Linked DNA regions of Arabidopsis thaliana. The protein of the gene in region 1 interacts with the protein of each later gene in a pairwise test. Each region holds a gene or a part of one and is shown in the gene's direction. Other genes may lie near its edges.

Region 1 (4,596 bases):
ATTGATGGAGGTTTAGACATGGTTGTTACGTAGAAACAAAGGTCTCTCTATTTGAATTAAGTAGTTAATGTTGAACTAATTTGAATATGAATAAAAATGTAATATATTGTATGGCTTTAGCTTATTATTAAAAATAATATGACAGCTGTTTTATAAGGGTAACATTTCAAATTATATAAACGCACAGTTACATCACAACGATGGAATACTAGTTTACTATTCAGAAGAGACCGGAACACCAATCTTGCTTCCAACTCTACGAAGACAATCGTTCCATGTCTGTTTGTTTCTTGGAATAGATGCAATATTTTTATATTCATACGATGAGAAGAAGATTTTAATCAATCCAAGATGACAATCTTTGCCAATCTTCAATATATCACGACAACATTTATCTGTCACTAAAGTTGTTGCATCCAGCACGTTCTGGAAAATCTCACCTCCGCATATGGAGCTCGGCTTTTCAACGCAAGCCTCTAGAAAATCATACTGTTTTTGCGAGTAATGGGGAAGCTTCATGTCATATTCCATTGCGGGTGAATTAGCTTCTTCGAATGGAGTTGGAGATATGGCTACATCTTCATGTATCTCCTGGGAGAAAATTGGACAAGCCATGTAAAACATTACAATGGATACAAGCATGACCATGAGAAGAGACTTTGCCATATTTACTTTTGGTTTTGGATGTAAGATTGCTGATATAAAAAAAAAACAAGAGATGTTATATAGGACAATCAGTAAGGATATTTAATTAATAAATTGTTTATTTATTAATAGTTTATGTTACTGACTTCATAAACTTCTTCATTTACTAGTTTTGTTTAGAAGACGTTTGCAGTAGAGACTATAGACTTATAAACTTCTCTACAAGTCATAACTTACAATGTGTGAAAACTCTTTTTTTCTTAATGTTTTTACAAATCAAAGTGATACATTAGATACAACATAATTACACGATTATACAAAAAAATGAAAGAAAGAATTGTAATGAGGACAACCGCATGGAGACTTTCAATCCGAAATACAGCGAGTAATATTCTTGGGAAGTATATGATCCTTAGACGGTAATTACAACGAGTGTTTTTTGTAATTTGAATATTTTTGGGGAGAGTAAAGATTCAAGGACGGGATAGATCAGATTTGTTTATTGACCCTTATAACCTCAAATATTTATACACATTCTTATCTTTTACTGGTTTTAAAACCATACGGGGTTAAGAAAATAGAAGTCTTTAATTTAGAAAAAGATTTTAAAAAAAAACAGTATAGATCTTCTGTTACAGAGGGTCTAGCAAGAGACATTTAAATACTCTTTATTTATTTCTATATTTTAAATAATTAAACTAAATAAATATATTATTATTAAATTTTAAAAACACATTTATCGGTAGTTAACCGATGGTGATGCTCTAAAAATCCAAAAATCAAAAGGCCATAGTTATATGTTTTTGTTGTAGAATTTGAACAAAAAAACTAAGACAAAAAAACGTGTCATCATTGAGATGGCGTTTGAAATAAAAGACCCATAAACAAAATTAACCTAGTTTAGTAACTATTACCAAAAGGAAATCAAATCGTCGTCGTTTGCTTTTTACTTTTACCAATAGTTATTTCGCTTTTGTTTAACAAACTATCTACTTATTTTGCATTATAGATACAGATCTATTATATTTTATTGACACCGTATAAAAAAGACTTATTTTTTATATTTTGCATAAAATCGAGATACTTATAAAAATGCACCGCATATTTTGTTGGAATTGAAAATTTTACCCTAGAAATCTATTTCAAAAATCATTATCCCCTTGCATTACGTCTCGGTAAAGTTCATTTTCACTGCGCATGTTTCTCTATTTGGTAGCAAATATAATTAGATAATTGTGTAGATAGAAACAAATTAGGTTTGGGATTTATTCAGGAAGTTTCTTCTACAATATTGTGATAAAATAAGATTGTATTGGGTACCATTTGAAGGTTCCTTCAAGTTAAGCACATGCAAGTTCAAAAGAGTCAGTCATGTCTCTCTTTTTCATTTTCTCGTTTTCTCCTTTTTTTTTGTTCTTGCCTAATTCTTATTAAAAACCTTTCCTAATTTTTTTTTAATGAACCAAGCCTAGTTTGAAACCCGTTAACTCTATACATCTTTACTAAATTCTCCAAAGAAAGACATGATCAAAAAGACAAATCTATACATATTCACTAATACCCAGAGAAAGAAAATTGAGATGTCGTATTTATTGATATTCCGAAACAATAACATGAGATGTCGTATTTATTGATCGGAAGAAAATTTAAACTCCCATTAGTAACGAACGCAAGAAATAAAACCAAAACTAAAAAATTACAAAAACCAAACAATAACATGAGATGTATAAATCATATATAATCTAAACCAAAAACTACAATTTGAAAAAAGGAAAGCTATCTATCCATCATTTCTTCCGATCATCATCATGGAGGTGAACACTCGACTGACTCGAGAAGAACATCCATTCCAAGATTCATCTGCATGGTTTCTACGGTACCTTGACCACCAAGGCGACTGGCTTGAAAAAACTAGGGGAAACCTGGTCGTTGCTGCAACAGTCATAGCTGCAATGAGCTTTGGGGTAATGGTGAACCCTCCAGGCGGTGTTTGGCAGAGTGAAGATTGTTCCTCCAAAGGCCAAACTACTTTTCAAACCAGAACTTGTGAGGGGAAGCTTGGGACTTCGATACTAGAGCACAATCCTTCAAAGCGTATCTTCTATCTTGGCATGGTCATTAGCAATTTGGTATCGTTTTCCGCCTCAATGGGTATCATTTTCCTCGTCATCATTGGCTTCCGATTCAGGTACTAGATCCATTCATAAACCATAATTATATAATGTGTTTTCTTCTTAAACATTTCCTTGCAAATAGTCGAAATAAATAGTGAGACCTGTTTACTAATTAGTGAACTAATATTATATCTATCTGACTATCTGTAGGAACCGGTTAATAATGACGATCATGGTCATGTTTATGGTGGTGGCGGTTCTATGTATATCGGCAGCCTTCTTCTTTGCTGCGGGGTTGGTTCAACACGAGGATGATTTCATCGAGAAGATTCTTCAAATTTATTTGGGATTTTGGGTTTTGCTTCCTGTTTTAGTAATCCTGATCCAATTAGTGCGGTTTTTATGGTGGGTTATTAGGTTCATATGTTGTGGTTGTGGACGTCGACCACGGTCTACTCCACGGTTGCTGCCTTTGGCTCTGCCACCTGTCCGTTGACGAAGAGGAGGACCCATGGCTCGAACCGACGTGTTAAATGGAAATACTGTCAGCAATGTGATAAGTAGAATAAAGCTCTCCCATGTTGATCATTTTAAAAAGATTTCTATTGTATGTGTGATCTTATTGTTTACGGAGTCGTCACTAGCTCTCAATGGGCCTAATGTAAGACTTTAAAATGTGTCCCTCATTTACTGAAAAATATCTTATACTAGAAACCATCTAAATAAATGTGAATTCCTTATAAACATAACTTAGTTCTATGAAAAAACTATAGATATAATCATATAAATCATTTTATTTGAAGATAGACAAAATACGACATACTAGGTCAGTACATTTATAAAATCAACTAAAATATCATCTATTGCTGTTTTATAAATATCTTTCTTATCAGTATTTTATTTTATTTTGTTGATTTAAATTTATCTGATCGAACAGAGCCACGTTATAAATTTATTATAAATATAAATTATATAATCCATTAAAAGTTATGTAAAGTAAATATAAACAAATTTTATGATAATAATAATTATAAAAAAAACAATCGAAAGAAATTTAGGTAGCCACATTACGGGTTGTGGACTAAAGAGGTGGAAGTTTTGTTCTCGTGACACATAAGGAAAGGGTGTGTTGTAAATACAGACACTTACTCAATGTATGACACTTAAACCTATCATGCATAATTCGATTAGGTTAAATATTAGCTACTTAATAACATAGGCAAATAGCCAAATACAACCAAACTAAATACCGATGACATTTATCATAAATTATTACGCGGCAAAAACTAAAAGAATAAGGAATAGATTAAAAACAGGAATAACAACTTAAAATTATATAAAAATACAAAGTCAAATTGTATCTATGCGGCTACAAAATGAGCATATATAGGAAATAGGACAGAGTTCTAATTGAAAGAAAGAAGTGATTTAACCAAAAGTTCACCGATCAGTGGATTGGCCTAACCAATCGGTGGCTCAAGCATTTTTTCACTAGGTACTAAACTCTAGCAAACGGGCCTCTTGATGGATCCTCTCTTTTTCTAATGCTTTTTGACCCAATTCCTCTTTGTTATGCTCACTTTTGCTTTACAGGTCCATATTCCTAAAAAGACTTAATTAAACCTATAAAACAAACGAAATAAAACTATAAATTGTGTAAATATATCACTTAACAAATGCTATTAGAGGGTTACAGGCTGGAGAACAGAGTATGTAATATTGTGTTTAGCTACAAGATTTCGAAGACCGCGTGATACACCACCCGTTATTATATGTAATTCAAGACACTTTCACACTTTTTTGGGGTAATTGAAGAACGATACAATTTGACTTGTGT
Region 2 (6,006 bases), on another chromosome or scaffold:
GTTTTTTAGTTCGACTGATTTGGGAATGTGAAGAGATCAGATTGATTTGTTGACAGAGTCTTGGGGGTTTTCAATCTTATTCCTCTAGATTTTCGAAATTCGATTCCTTTACATCAGATTTCGCTTAATTCTCTGTCCTAGTGAGTTTTACGATCTTTAGTCTTCTGGTTTGTCAAATTCTATGTCTTTTCATGTTCTTCTGAGTTTTAATGGTTGATCTTCAATTACTTGGCCACAATCTCTAGAGTTTGAGACTCTTGACTTGTCTTGCATATATTCCTCTGTAGATTGGTTTTATGTTTGGTTTCAATTCCTTGTTGAACTATTCTGATACGGAAGTTTTCCTTTCTAAGGTTTGGTGTTTCCTTTTTCTGATAAATAGTGATGAAGATCGATTATGATGATCATGTAAGAATATAATCTAGCTTTGGTGTTTGTATTGGTTTACCTGAGGGAAGAAAAGTCTTTCTCTTTGGGACTTTAAACTTTGATTACTTAACTCCAACATTATCATAGTTGGGTTCTGTAGTTCATTTCACTTATAGCAGTAATAACTCATTGATTGATGCAATCAATCAATCCTGTGATGGAAATGGAATCATGGAAATTGAGGGATTCAGGGAGGATTGATTGATTAGAATTTCATATTTATGAGAGAATAAGAGAACTGATGTGTGTTTCTTTTCCTACTTCTTAAAGTTGTGCTCTTTCCTATTTCTATAAGCTCTTGTGGATAACAACAGTTGATTAACGTTCTTATGCTTGTTTAGGGTACAACAAGAATGGAAGAAGAGTATGAGAGTCGTCGATTGAGGAGATGGGAAGAGTTGGACACTGACATCTTAGTAAGAATTTTCCAGAAGTTTAGCGTCTTTGAGTTGACTTCGGGATTAGCTCATGTTTGTAGAGGATGGAGAGCTGCTTGTTGCGATCCGATTCTTTGGAAGACGGTGGATTTGTCAAACATGAGATCTAGTTTCATCAAGATCCCATTAGAGCCTTATGTCTATGTGGAACGCCGATCTGATGAGGCCCTAACCCGCATCCTGAAACTCTCCATGAACCTTAGCGGAGGAAGCACGAGGACCTTGATTTTTCATTTCAACTTGTTCTTGAGTGATGATCAGCTTACTTACACCGCAGAAAGGTATGTCCTTTTCGTTCTTCCACTTATTTGTCTTCCAAATTGTTTCATCATGGCCGTAAACTATGGTTTTTTAGTCAAAAGTTGGTTCAGTTTTTGGTTTGGTTAAGTTCATGTACCCACTTTCAGTCAAAATTGCTGAATTACAATTAAGCTGAATCTCGCAAATGCTAAAAGTTGAAAAATTTGTTGTACTGAATATTTTGCAGGTGTCCAGGGTTGAGACGGGTCGTCCTACCGGCTTGGAACAGAATAAAGAAGACTGGTATATGCAAAGCGATAAGAATCTGGAAAGATCTAGAGTCACTAACAATGCCAAGCATCGCAAACCCGCCTTATCTCTTAACAGAAATTGCCAAGAACTGCAAGAATTTTAAAGAGCTGAAGATCATGGGTCCATTCGAGGTCTTCTTTGCAAACACGCTCATCACTTGCCTCCCAAACATCAAAACACTCAGCATCAGATGCTCGGCGATAAAGCGGGAAGCACTGATGAAAATCCTTGACGGATTACCAAGCCTTGAAGTGCTCAACATATCACACTCTCACCTAGTGGAGTACAGCGGTTGGCAGCCTCAGCAGAAGGTGATTGTTAGAGAGCTCGATAAGACGATAATGGAGAAAACAGCAAGGCTAAAGAAATTCTTGACTTGCATGGATCACAAGACGTGTGTGATGTGTCAGAGGACTGAAAACGATGAAGGGATTGTGAGATGGTACAAGTATGAGGAAGGAGACTGGAAGGTTGATGAAGTGAGTTCTCTTCATCTTTGATGTTTCTGCTGTGATCATTCTCTGTGAAGGACTTAACTTGTTATTGTTCTCATCTTTGACTGTTGAATTGTTTATTTCTTTGTGTTGTTTGTTTTGATTTGAATCGTATTATGTGTATATATCTGTAGGCTATGCCAATGAATGTCTGTAGTGATCAACTTTTGATCACCACCAACCTTGCACACCAAATAGGAAAATAAAACAATATTGTTACAATTATTTGTCTTGATATTAGCATTATTAGTCACATTTGTTTTGCAAATCATCTACCTTTTTTTTTTGGTCTATATCTTATTCTTCTTAGTTCTTACCTACCAGTCTTCTCCGGCGGCATTAACGACACCGTTTTATCGAGCTCAGCCACCACTAGTTAGGTAACGATATATATTCTTAAAAACGTTTAGAAAATTTCTATGTATGTTTCACACGAACAAAAAGAAAATATTTTTCAGACATCAACGGTCATTATGGACGACGACTGTTAAACAAAATCGTTTAAAATTCTTGTTGCGTAATTTGACCATTTTATTTTATTTTATACCAAAAATTGAAGATATTATATATATGTTTTAATTCGATCGCAAATAAATCTGAAAATTAAAACACAAAACGTTACTCTTCTCTCTCATTCTCTTTCGCTTCTCGATAGCTTCTCAAATCATGGTTCAGCAAATATGGGAGACGTTGAAGGAAACAATCACAGCTTACACTGGACTTTCTCCAGCTGCGTTTTTCACCGTACTTGCTCTCGCTTTCGCCGTTTACCAAGTCGTCTCCGGTTTCTTCGTTTCTCCTGAAGTTCACCGACCTCGTTCTTTGGAGGTTCAGCCTCAATCGGAGCCTCTTCCACCGCCGGTTCAGCTCGGAGAAATCACTGAGGAGGAGCTTAAGCTTTATGATGGCTCCGATTCTAAAAAGCCCCTTCTTATGGCGATCAAGGGCCAGATCTATGATGTTTCTCAGAGCAGGTATTTCTTGTGAAATCTTTACTTGTTCATTAAATTATGATTGAATCCAAATGATCACTAGTTAAATTACCAGTAATAAACGATTCAACCCAATAGTTTCGAGATTTGGGGTTTAGGTTAGTTAATCATGGTTGACTGTTTGATTTATAATCCGAAGTTTCCAATTACTATCTATCTTATGATTCTAGTATATCTACTGATGCTCGAACTCTAGTTTAAGTGATTCTTTATTGTAAAACTGAACACTTTTAGTAAATCTTTTTGATGAATATTCTCTCCTTTTTGTTCATAATCTTATGATGCTCTTTTTATTGCTTTTTGCATCTTAGTGTTTGTTTTTTCACTTCTTTTCTTGGAACAATACCATTAGAAGCACTGATACAATTGTATTGTATTCAAGTTATCGGAAAGATCTCTACTTTTTCTTATACTAGAAAAACCTGTATTTAGATTACATCTTGGATTAGTAGAGATTGATAACGTACAAACTCGTCAAAGGTTTGGCTTCTAATATTGCTATTGTGGCGAAAGAGATCGTTCACTGATTAATTATCCACATTTGCTTGCTATTTGTGTTCCATGACGTTTGTAAATTAAGTTTTGGCGAACATTGTTGGTATGTAACCATGCTGCAGTTGTCTAGATCCCTGACTTGTCAACTAGACAGTTCTTTTACATTCCAGTTACCGAAAACTTCGTTGTGGTAATTAGGTTTTGTGCTAGATGAAATAATCACTTCAGTGATCATACCGTTTTGCTTGTTCATAGTGGCGACAGACACAGACACACTCATCAACGCATATACATGTCGATGTATATGTATGCATAACTTTTAGTTTTTTTCTTGTACATAGTTCATCAGCTGTACTACATATCTAGATGAATCATATTCATATGTGCCAAGCTGTAGTTTTTCATTCTTCAAACTCTACTTAACTCTTACTGGTCGCTAATTTGCATGACCATCTGTTCTTTTTATGCAGGATGTTTTATGGACCAGGTGGGCCATATGCTCTGTTTGCAGGGAAAGATGCAAGCCGAGCTCTGGCAAAGATGTCATTTGAGGACCAAGACTTGACTGGAGACATCTCAGGTCTCGGTGCATTTGAGCTAGAGGCGTTACAAGACTGGGAGTACAAGTTCATGAGCAAGTATGTCAAAGTCGGAACCATTCAAAAGAAGGATGGAGAAGGCAAAGAAAGTTCAGAACCTTCCGAAGCAAAGACTGCCTCTGCGGAAGGTCTTTCTACAAACACTGGAGAAGAAGCTTCAGCAATTACCCATGATGAAACTTCTAGAAGCACAGGCGAGAAAATCGCGGAAACCACGGAGAAGAAAGATGTTGCAACTGATGATGATGATGCTGCAAAGGAGTAAAGTCAATGTAATGAGAGGCACAGTTTCTCTTGAGAAATTAGTGAGATTTTTCAGGGTTTAAGTATGAGTCGTATATAGCTCAATAAAAATGGTGACCTTGTGTGTACTTTTTGGATCTTGTATAATGACATCTAATTCTGGTTATGGAAGCTTCAAAATACATTATTTCTACAGTATTAATCGATAAACAGTTCTATAATTCAGGGTTTGTTCACTTGTTGTTTATGCTTAGTTCATATTTGACATCCTGCTATGTGCCTGGTAATTGAAGATGGTTCAATTCCTAAAATCGAAGCACCAACTTACATTTGATGGTAGGTCTGTTGCCGAACCGAAGTGAAGAATTTGCAATAATTTTGGTTTCGGTTTGGAACCTTCAAACCGACCGGTTTCGAATTATTATTGAACCAAATTTTCAAAATTCAAATATCTTGTCAAATCATTTTCTTCCCTCTTTCTGTCTCTGTCTCTCTCTCTCGCTCGATCTCGAAGGTGAAGCTATGGGAGTGAAGTATCTTTGGGATGTCTTGGAGCCTTGTAAGAAGACTTTCCCACTCGATCATCTTCAGTGAGTTGTTTCTTCGTCTCAATTTCTCTTTAATTTTTCTGGGTGTTTAAAAAGACCAAGTCTTTACGAGATCTTCGTAATCGCTGTAGAAACAAAAGGGTATGCGTGGATCTTTCGTGTTGGATGGTGGAATTGCATAAAGTGAACAAATCTTATTGCGCCACTAAAGAAAAAGTTTATCTTCGAGGATTTTTTCATCGTCTCCGAGCCCTAATTGCCCTAAACTGCTCCATCATTTTAGTCTCAGGTAATTTAATTCTACCCTACTGTTGAAAATTGCCATCAGAAGAGCCAATTAGGGTTTATGTAGTGTTGTATTGTTGTCATTGTGAATTGATTTGAGTAATAGAAGCATGAGTGGTCAAATCAGTTCTTATTTATTGATGCTTTGCTCTAAAGTTTAGTTTTTTCAATGCTATTGAGCATACTTGACTTGTTGGAATGTGGCATGTAATTGTAGATGGTGCAATTCCTGGAATCAAAGTACCAACTTACAAGCGTCGGTTAAAAGCAAGATTCGAGGTACAATGATGTCAAATGTGGCACTTGTGGTTTCATCCTTGCATATGATGGCTAGTTTTTGGATTGTTTTTTTCGATTTCGTGCTATATTGGTTCAGCCAGATCGCTGACGATGGTGTTGAGCCTAGCAAAGAGACTTCACTCAAAAGAAATATGGGGTCTGAGTTCTCGTGCATCATAAAAGAGGCGAAAGTTATTGCATCAACACTAGGGATACTTTGTTTAGACGGGTAGGGCTTCAAGACAGTTAGCTTAGATTGACAATGAGACTTTGGTTTGAGTGTTTAACTTTGCTTATGAGACTTTGGTTTGAATGTTTAACTTTGCTTATGAGAAACTGATTCTGTTCTGTATTTTCCATCAAATGCAGGATTGAGGAGGCTGAGGCGCAATGCGCTCTGCTAAACTCGGAATCCTTATGTGTAAGACGCATTTTTCAGCTTTAATCAGTTTCTTGTTCGTCATGCTGTTAACCCAATATTCAATGATCATCCATAGGACGCCTGTTTTAGCTTTGATTCGGATATCTTCCTTTTTGGTGCAAAGACTGTATACAGAGAAATATGCCTTGGTCAGTGGAAAGAGACTCTTTAGTGTGTTGGTTTCTTTTACCGTCTGATATGGTTAATAGTATTATAAGTCCTAATAAATTTG
Region 3 (7,584 bases), on another chromosome or scaffold:
ACTTGGAAGGATAATTCATATCCAGAGTGGTTGTTGAGTATTGTTCATGGTCCAATGGTTAAAGTTACTTGTTGGCCAATGTATTTTTGTCGTGGATACATATTTCATACATATGATCATGGAAAGAACAAAAAGAATGCCAATTATGGAGTTTGTGTCAAAGGTACAACATCTTCTAGCTCAAATGAAGAAGCTGATTTCTATGGAATATTGAGAGAAATTTATGAGCTTCATTATCCTGGACATGTTGATCTCAAGGTCGTGGTCTTCAAGTGTGATTGGTATGATTCAAAAGTTGGGAGAGGTATACGAAGAAACAAGTCAGGGATTATTGATATTAATGCTAAAAGGCATTATGAAGAGTATGATCCTTTTGTTTTGGCTTCACAAGCAGATCAGGTATGTTATGTTCCATATCCACGGATGACTCAGCCGAGAAAAGATCAACAATGGGAAGCAGCAATTATGATACAACCGAGAGGGAAAGTATTGATAACAAAAATCTGGATTTCACTGCAATGCAGCATGATAACGATGATTCTATTGTTGAAGTTGATTCATTACAAATCGAGACACTATCATATCTAGATGCCCAACCAGAAGATCTTGATGATCCAGTAGTAGAAGCCGAAGATGGATCAGATGCTGAAGATGGAAATTCTGATATCGAATTAACTAGTGACGAATCCGAATAATTTTTTTTTTCATTTGGACTTTTTACAGCTTTTTTTGTATTATCAAAAACATTGTTTCCAAAACTGAAGAAGTTTTTTTATTTAATTTTTTGTTCACAAGTTTTTATTTTTGTATTAAAATTGGTAACACTTATGTCACAATCTATGACCAAACGCAAAAGTCACTAAAACAGTGACAAATTGTGTCATCGTTGTTACAAAATTCTCGTAACTATACATGACATAAATTCAGTCACAATTATCGTATAATTTAGTTACTATATTTGGTCGCAAATCCGTACTTATATTTATGACTATATAATTTGTAACAAATTTGACATAATTAGTGACAAACATTAGTTACATTCAATTAAGTCATAATATTATAACGAAATAGTAACGTTTTTATGACCAAATAAATACGTCACAATTTTGTATGAAAATGGTCACAATTTTCTGACGAAAATAATGACCGTAATTTTTTCGTAAGAATATCGATTTCTGACCAGACGCTCTTCAATATCCGTTAGTAGTTGTGACACTTGAATGTGGTTTTGGACATGTCACCAGAAACTTGTCTTCAAGTGGTCTAACTGGAACCATGGCTGCTGCGATTCAAAATCTTACGCAACTAGAAACTCTGTAAGTAAGCTTGAATAATATACATACCGTTGCGTTTAAAAAAGCTACTCTCCAGCGACCGTGTTTCCAGCACTCCAAATTCATTATTTTCTGTTTAATGGGCTGATAAAACCCATGTTTGGCCCATAACAATTATTTCTGTTATTATAGCAACGTTGAAAAATATACATACCGTTGCGTTTAAAACGCTACTCTCCAGCACTCCAAATCGCCAATCGCGTTCTCAAACAGTGCTAATCGCCGATGAAGAGGTCTCATTGTCATCGCCGTCCTTCTCACGACGGGAGATTTCGCTGCCGTATATGGCCGATTTATCTCCGGAGATTCCTCACATTCGTCCTCCTCCTCACAAAAGTTATTGGGCCGGCTCAAAGAGATGGAATCAAAATTCTCTCAGTTTCATGGCCGGAAGGTAATTTCTCAGTTTATGATGTAACTGAAAATCCTTTAAAAATTTGAACTTTATGATTTTAGATATCTGATAATGGCGTCTTTGTCTTGAAATTTGTTTCTTCATGTTGACCCACTTCTCTTTAGATAATAGTCATTGTTGATAAATGTGAATCCTCTGCTTTGTGATTAGAAGCTGTTCTTGTCGATGAAGACGTCAAAATGTGTATTAATTAGTGATAAATTATCCGATATGATTCAATCAAAGTCACTGACCACTAGAAAGTCAAATCTCTTGCTTTCTCTCTGTGTGAACATTTTTTAATGCGTTAAAAGAGTGGTGACTGTAAAACCCTCTATTGACATATTCTCTTAAAAACACAGAAGTTGCATATTATTTTTTCTAAATACAAGTTGCATATATTCTGACATTCTTGGGACAAATCAAATTTGTAATTGTAAAGTTGCAATAGAAAACACATTTACTCATTCGTTTCACTGACTCAGGACATCTTGCCATGTTGCCAGAGGCTTGGACTGTTTCTTGGGTTTATCTATTTATACGCTGTGTTTCTCTCAAACTCTGGCATTGGTAAGGTTTTGATATCTAAAAGCAATTATGGATAGTCCTTGTTGGCTTTTGCTGCTGCTATTAGGAGCTTTTGCCATTATTGGTTGTGTTCAAGCTCAGGATCAACAAGGTACCTAAATCTTAATGGTTTATATGTATATTACACTACTACTTCTTACTGATTCGAGTCTTAGTTATGTTTGTATCTGAGATGCTTTTGATTTTTCACTCTCTTAACAGAGTTTATCAGTTTGGATTGCGGGTTACCCATGACTGAACCGTCTTCTTATACTGAGTCAGTAACCGGACTACGGTTCTCGTCTGATGCTGAATTCATCCAGACTGGTGAAAGTGGTAAAATCCAGGCGAGTATGGAGAATGACTACCTTAAGCCGTACACGAGGCTGAGGTATTTTCCAGAGGAGAGAAGGAACTGCTATAGTTTGAGTGTTGACAAGAACAGGAAATATTTGATCAGGGCTAGGTTCATTTATGGGAATTACGATGGTCGTAACTCTAACCCGATATTTGAACTGCATCTAGGACCTAATCTGTGGGCAACTATAGATTTGCAAAAGTTTGTGAATGGTACAATGGAGGAGATCCTTCACACTCCAACATCAAACTCTTTGAACGTTTGTCTTGTTAAGACAGGGACAACTACACCCTTGATCTCAGCCTTGGAATTACGGCCATTAGGAAATAATTCTTATCTCACAGATGGTTCTTTGAATCTTTTCGTTCGGATATATCTCAACAAGACAGATGGCTTTCTTCGGTAAGTGTTTTTTTTTTGGTTAACAGTGATGGATTCTATATTCCTATACTCTTTATTTTTAACATTCCTATACTTATTCAAGGATAATACAACCTTTGTTCCACATAGGTACCCGGATGATATTTATGATCGCAGATGGCATAATTACTTTATGGTGGATGATTGGACCCAAATTTTCACCACTCTCGAAGTGACCAATGATAACAATTATGAACCACCAAAAAAGGCTCTTGCAGCGGCTGCCACGCCTTCTAATGCCAGCGCGCCATTGACAATCAGTTGGCCACCAGACAATCCTGGTGACCAATATTACTTGTACAGCCACTTCTCTGAGATACAAGATTTACAGACCAATGATACCAGAGAATTTGACATATTATGGGATGGAGCTGTTGTTGAAGAAGGTTTCATCCCTCCAAAGTTAGGGGTGACTACTATCCATAATCTTTCTCCAGTGACATGCAAAGGAGAAAATTGCATTTACCAGCTAATAAAAACCTCGAGGTCAACTCTTCCTTCTCTACTTAACGCTCTTGAAATCTACACAGTTATCCAATTTCCACGGTCGGAAACAAATGAAAATGATGGTATGTTACTTATCTTCATTGTTATGCAGATACAGTCTGTTTTTTTTTTTTAACTAGAGAAATCAACTTCACCTGCTAATTCTCACATCCTTGAGCTCTACATCAGTGGTTGCTGTTAAAAATATCGAAGCTGCCTATAAATTGAGTAGAATCAGGTGGCAAGGAGATCCTTGCGTCCCTCAAAAGTATGCGTGGGATGGTTTGAACTGTAGCAACAACACAGATGTTTCTAAACCTCCAAGAGTATTATCCTTGTAAGTCGTAAGATCCAAGATATGAACATGCACACTTTGACACTTATCTTCAAAATAAGTTAACTATCATGCTTTGGAATCACCAGAAATTTGTCTTCGAGCGGTTTAACTGGAATCATTGCGGCCGCAATTCAAAACCTTACACATTTAGAAAAACTGTAAGTATGGCCATAGTTAATATTGGTTTTGTTGATGGAGGAAAACCTAATGAGCTCTACTTTATTTTGGAAATAAACTTTTAGGGACTTGTCAAATAACACACTAACTGGAGTGGTGCCGGAATTTCTAGCCCAGATGAAATCGTTGGTGATCATGTAAGTTGCTCAGCATATTTTCGTTTACTTTCAGTTCTCCTTTGGTTCATGTGTCTGTATGCATGAAGATTGCTCTTCTTTAATAGAAACTTAAGCGGCAACAATCTTAGTGGTCCCCTTCCTCAAGGTCTTCGAAGAGAGGGACTAGAATTACTGTAAGAAACTTCCCACGTACTTTTTAATATTCCACAGTTATTTTCCACAGCCCTTTTGTGATTTGATGTTTTTAACAACACTCTTTTTCTTGCAGAGTTCAAGGCAACCCAAGGCTTTGTCTCTCTGGTTCCTGCACAGAAAAAAACTCGAAGAAGAAATTCCCGGTGGTGATTGTTGCATCAGTTGCTTCTGTGGCCATAATTGTTGCTGTGTTGGTTATTATTTTTGTTCTCAGTAAGAAAAAGTCATCTACTGTGGGAGGTAATTTGCAGGAGATCTCTCATCAAATCAAGAAACTGCAACAAATCGATGAATTCTTACATACCCTACTTTTTTTCTTTCTTATCTATAGCTCTACAACCTCCACTGAGTATGCCAATGGTTCATGATAATTCACCTGAACCATCAATCGAGACGAAAAAGAGAAGGTTTACTTATTCAGAGGTTATCAAAATGACGAATAATTTTCAAAGAGTTGTAGGGGAAGGAGGATTCGGTGTTGTTTGTCATGGTACTATAAATGGTTCTGAACAGGTGGCTGTTAAAGTTCTCTCTCAATCATCAAGTCAAGGATATAAGCATTTTAAGGCAGAGGTATGCATAATCTTCTTAAAAATATGACCATCTAACGCTTTCTCTTACTTTTATTTCCCATGAATGATTAGGTTGATCTTCTTCTACGAGTTCACCATACAAATTTGGTGAGTCTTGTTGGATATTGCGATGAAAGAGATCACTTGGCTCTCATCTATGAGTTTTTGCCCAAGGGAGACTTAAGACAACATCTATCTGGTAAACTTGAATTTCTTCATGATTCGAAAGTGTATATATGTTTCAACGTTCCCAAGGATCTAAAGAATCAAGTATTCAGGAAAAAGCGGTGGGTCCTTTATCAACTGGGGTAATCGTCTACGAATAGCTCTGGAGGCTGCACTAGGTTCGTAAGCTTATTAGCCAATATTGGCAGCTTAAAATGACTTTCCTTCTGGTGGACTAACAAATAATCATTCCTTTGAATAGGATTGGAATATCTACATTCTGGATGCACACCACCAATTGTACATAGAGATATAAAAACGACAAACATATTGCTGGACGAACAGTTAAAGGCCAAGCTTGCCGATTTCGGCCTTTCGAGATCTTTCCCTATTGGAGGTGAAACACATATTTCAACTGTGGTTGCTGGTACTCCTGGATACCTTGATCCTGAGTAAGTGTCGTTAGTTACCATTACAATGTGCTGAAAGTGAGTTGTCATTTTGCACTTTATATATTGGTTAGAGAGTATAACCATGTACTTTTGCCGTGCAGATATTACCAGACAACTCGACTGGGTGAGAAGAGCGATGTGTACAGCTTCGGAATTGTGTTATTGGAGATTATCACAAACCAACCTGTGATTGACCAGTCCCGTTCAAAGTCTCACATATCACAATGGGTTGGATTTGAGCTTACCCGAGGAGATATTACTAAGATCATGGATCCAAACCTGAACGGGGATTACGAATCTCGTTCTGTATGGAGAGTTCTTGAACTGGCAATGTCGTGTGCGAATCCTTCTTCTGTGAACCGACCAAACATGTCCCAAGTTGCTAATGAACTGAAAGAATGTCTTGTTTCTGAAAACTTGAGGGAAAATATGAATATGGACTCTCAGAATTCTCTTAAAGTGAGCATGAGCTTTGACACAGAGTTGTTTCCGAGGGCAAGGTAGTATGTGCTGCAGGTAACACAACCATGCTAATTAGTTGGGCTATTGGTCATGTTTGCTTTGATCATCCACATGCCAAGATCATATACCCTGTTACTTGGTGATGTTTTCATTATTTTATGTGTGCTTAGTGATGTTTTCATTCTTTGTATGTGTGGCTTGGATGCTAATAATCATTGACCGTAAAAGAGTATACCTCTTTGTGGTTCCATCATTAACAAACAAATGATTTTGGTTAAATATTTGTAAAATGGTTGGAAGAGTATTGATTTAAAACTGTCAAATAGTATATAAAATTAAAGAAACAGATTATGGATTGTGATTTCTCAACATACATTTATCTGTACTCTGAAATTATTAGGCTCACCATTCACTTAAGGCTATGTCAAATATAATTGATGTGATAGTTTATTGCTTAACGTGCTTCTGGGTCTGCTCCATATCTTCCATGATTGAGTTCATGATAGTGATGTTGGGACTTTGCTGTCCTCTTTTTCTTATTCATTTTGTTGAATAGAAAATGCATTTACTCATTTCTTTTGGCTTGGCAAAGTCTTTCTTTCGGCTTTTACATTTTCTTCCTAGCCAAATGGTTTTCTTGATTTTTCCTTGGAAGGTTAGAGAAGATGATTATATGAAGAATTCTCTTGGCCTTTTGTTCCTGCTAGTCTCCATCATTCATATTGTTCGAGCTCAAGACCAACAAGGTATCAGAAACCTTTTTTTTCCCTTTTAAACACATTCTTTTACAAACTTTTTGGTTCTCAGAAGTGCATTGTTTTAAAGAATAATCTTTATAAATGTCTGCCAACAGGATTCATCAGTTTGGATTGCGGACTCCCTGCGAATGAACTGTCTCCTTATGAAGAGAGTTTCACTGGACTGCGGTTCTCTTCGGATGAAAAGTTCATACGTAGTGGAAAAAACGGTCGAATCCGAGAAAATCCTCAGGGATACGCTAAGCCGTACGCTGAGATATTTTCCAGATGGAATAAGGAACTGCTACAATCTAAACGTTGAGAAGGGCAGGACACATTTGATTGTGGCTAGGTTTGTATATGGAAATTATGATGGTTTTGACCTTAAGCCAAAGTTTGATCTGTATCTTGGACCTAATCTATGGGCCACGGTGGATTTGCAAACAGAAGTTAATGGTACAGCGGAAGAGATCTTACACATCCCAACATCAAACTCTTTGCAGATTTGTCTTGTTAAGACTGGGGAAACTATACCGCTAATATCGGCTTTGGAATTATGGGAAATGGTTCTTATATCACTAAGTCTGGTTCCTTGAATCTTTTATCACGAACATATCTTAGCAAGTCAGGATCTGATCTACGGTAAGTTAACTTCAACTGATCATTGTTTGTTCTTTCTGCTCTGTTTCAATACAAGGGTTGTTTTCATTGACACTTAGAAAAGGTCATACATAAGGTTTTAAGGCAATCAATATGATCATTTTTTTTTGTTTTACTACTAAAACAACATTGTTTCCCACCCCCAGCTA

What was found. The genes of interacting proteins can lie anywhere in the genome.
Region 2: the proteins of AT4G13266 (region 1) and MAPR3 interact in a protein complementation assay, tested with the Arabidopsis thaliana proteins (one large-scale study listed by BioGRID).
Region 3: the proteins of AT4G13266 (region 1) and AT5G59650 interact in a protein complementation assay, tested with the Arabidopsis thaliana proteins (one large-scale study listed by BioGRID).

The regions. Positions count from the first base shown.
Region 1 is NC_003075.7:7,704,668-7,709,263, reverse strand, and holds AT4G13266 (ankyrin repeat protein), read left to right. Parts: upstream 1-2,370; 5' UTR 2,371-2,453; coding exon 2,454-2,833; intron 2,834-2,969; coding exon 2,970-3,255; 3' UTR 3,256-3,503; downstream 3,504-4,596. Other genes in the region: AT4G13261 (ECA1 gametogenesis family protein (DUF784)), read right to left, coding at 217-666.
Region 2 is NC_003074.8:18,127,091-18,133,096, forward strand, and holds MAPR3 (membrane-associated progesterone binding protein 3), read left to right. Parts: upstream 1-2,361; 5' UTR 2,362-2,578; coding exon 2,579-2,886; intron 2,887-3,869; coding exon 3,870-4,263; 3' UTR 4,264-4,502; downstream 4,503-6,006. Other genes in the region: AT3G48880 (RNI-like superfamily protein), read left to right, coding at 783-1,147, 1,354-1,918; AT3G48900 (single-stranded DNA endonuclease family protein), read left to right, coding at 4,764-4,831, 4,921-5,078, 5,292-5,353, 5,455-5,582, 5,723-5,774, 5,851-5,923.
Region 3 is NC_003076.8:24,029,021-24,036,604, forward strand, and holds AT5G59650 (Leucine-rich repeat protein kinase family protein), read left to right. Parts: upstream 1-2,325; coding exon 2,326-2,407; intron 2,408-2,517; coding exon 2,518-3,055; intron 3,056-3,163; coding exon 3,164-3,619; coding exon of another isoform or gene 3,620-3,642; intron 3,643-3,701; coding exon 3,702-3,896; intron 3,897-3,982; coding exon 3,983-4,054; intron 4,055-4,138; coding exon 4,139-4,210; intron 4,211-4,296; coding exon 4,297-4,365; intron 4,366-4,460; coding exon 4,461-4,627; intron 4,628-4,718; coding exon 4,719-4,960; intron 4,961-5,031; coding exon 5,032-5,158; intron 5,159-5,237; coding exon 5,238-5,303; intron 5,304-5,386; coding exon 5,387-5,576; intron 5,577-5,677; coding exon 5,678-6,080; downstream 6,081-7,584. Other genes in the region: AT5G59660 (Leucine-rich repeat protein kinase family protein), read left to right, coding at 6,667-6,784, 6,892-7,042, 7,128-7,231, 7,294-7,417, 7,582-7,584. UniProt on the Arabidopsis thaliana protein: Required for accurate photosynthesis.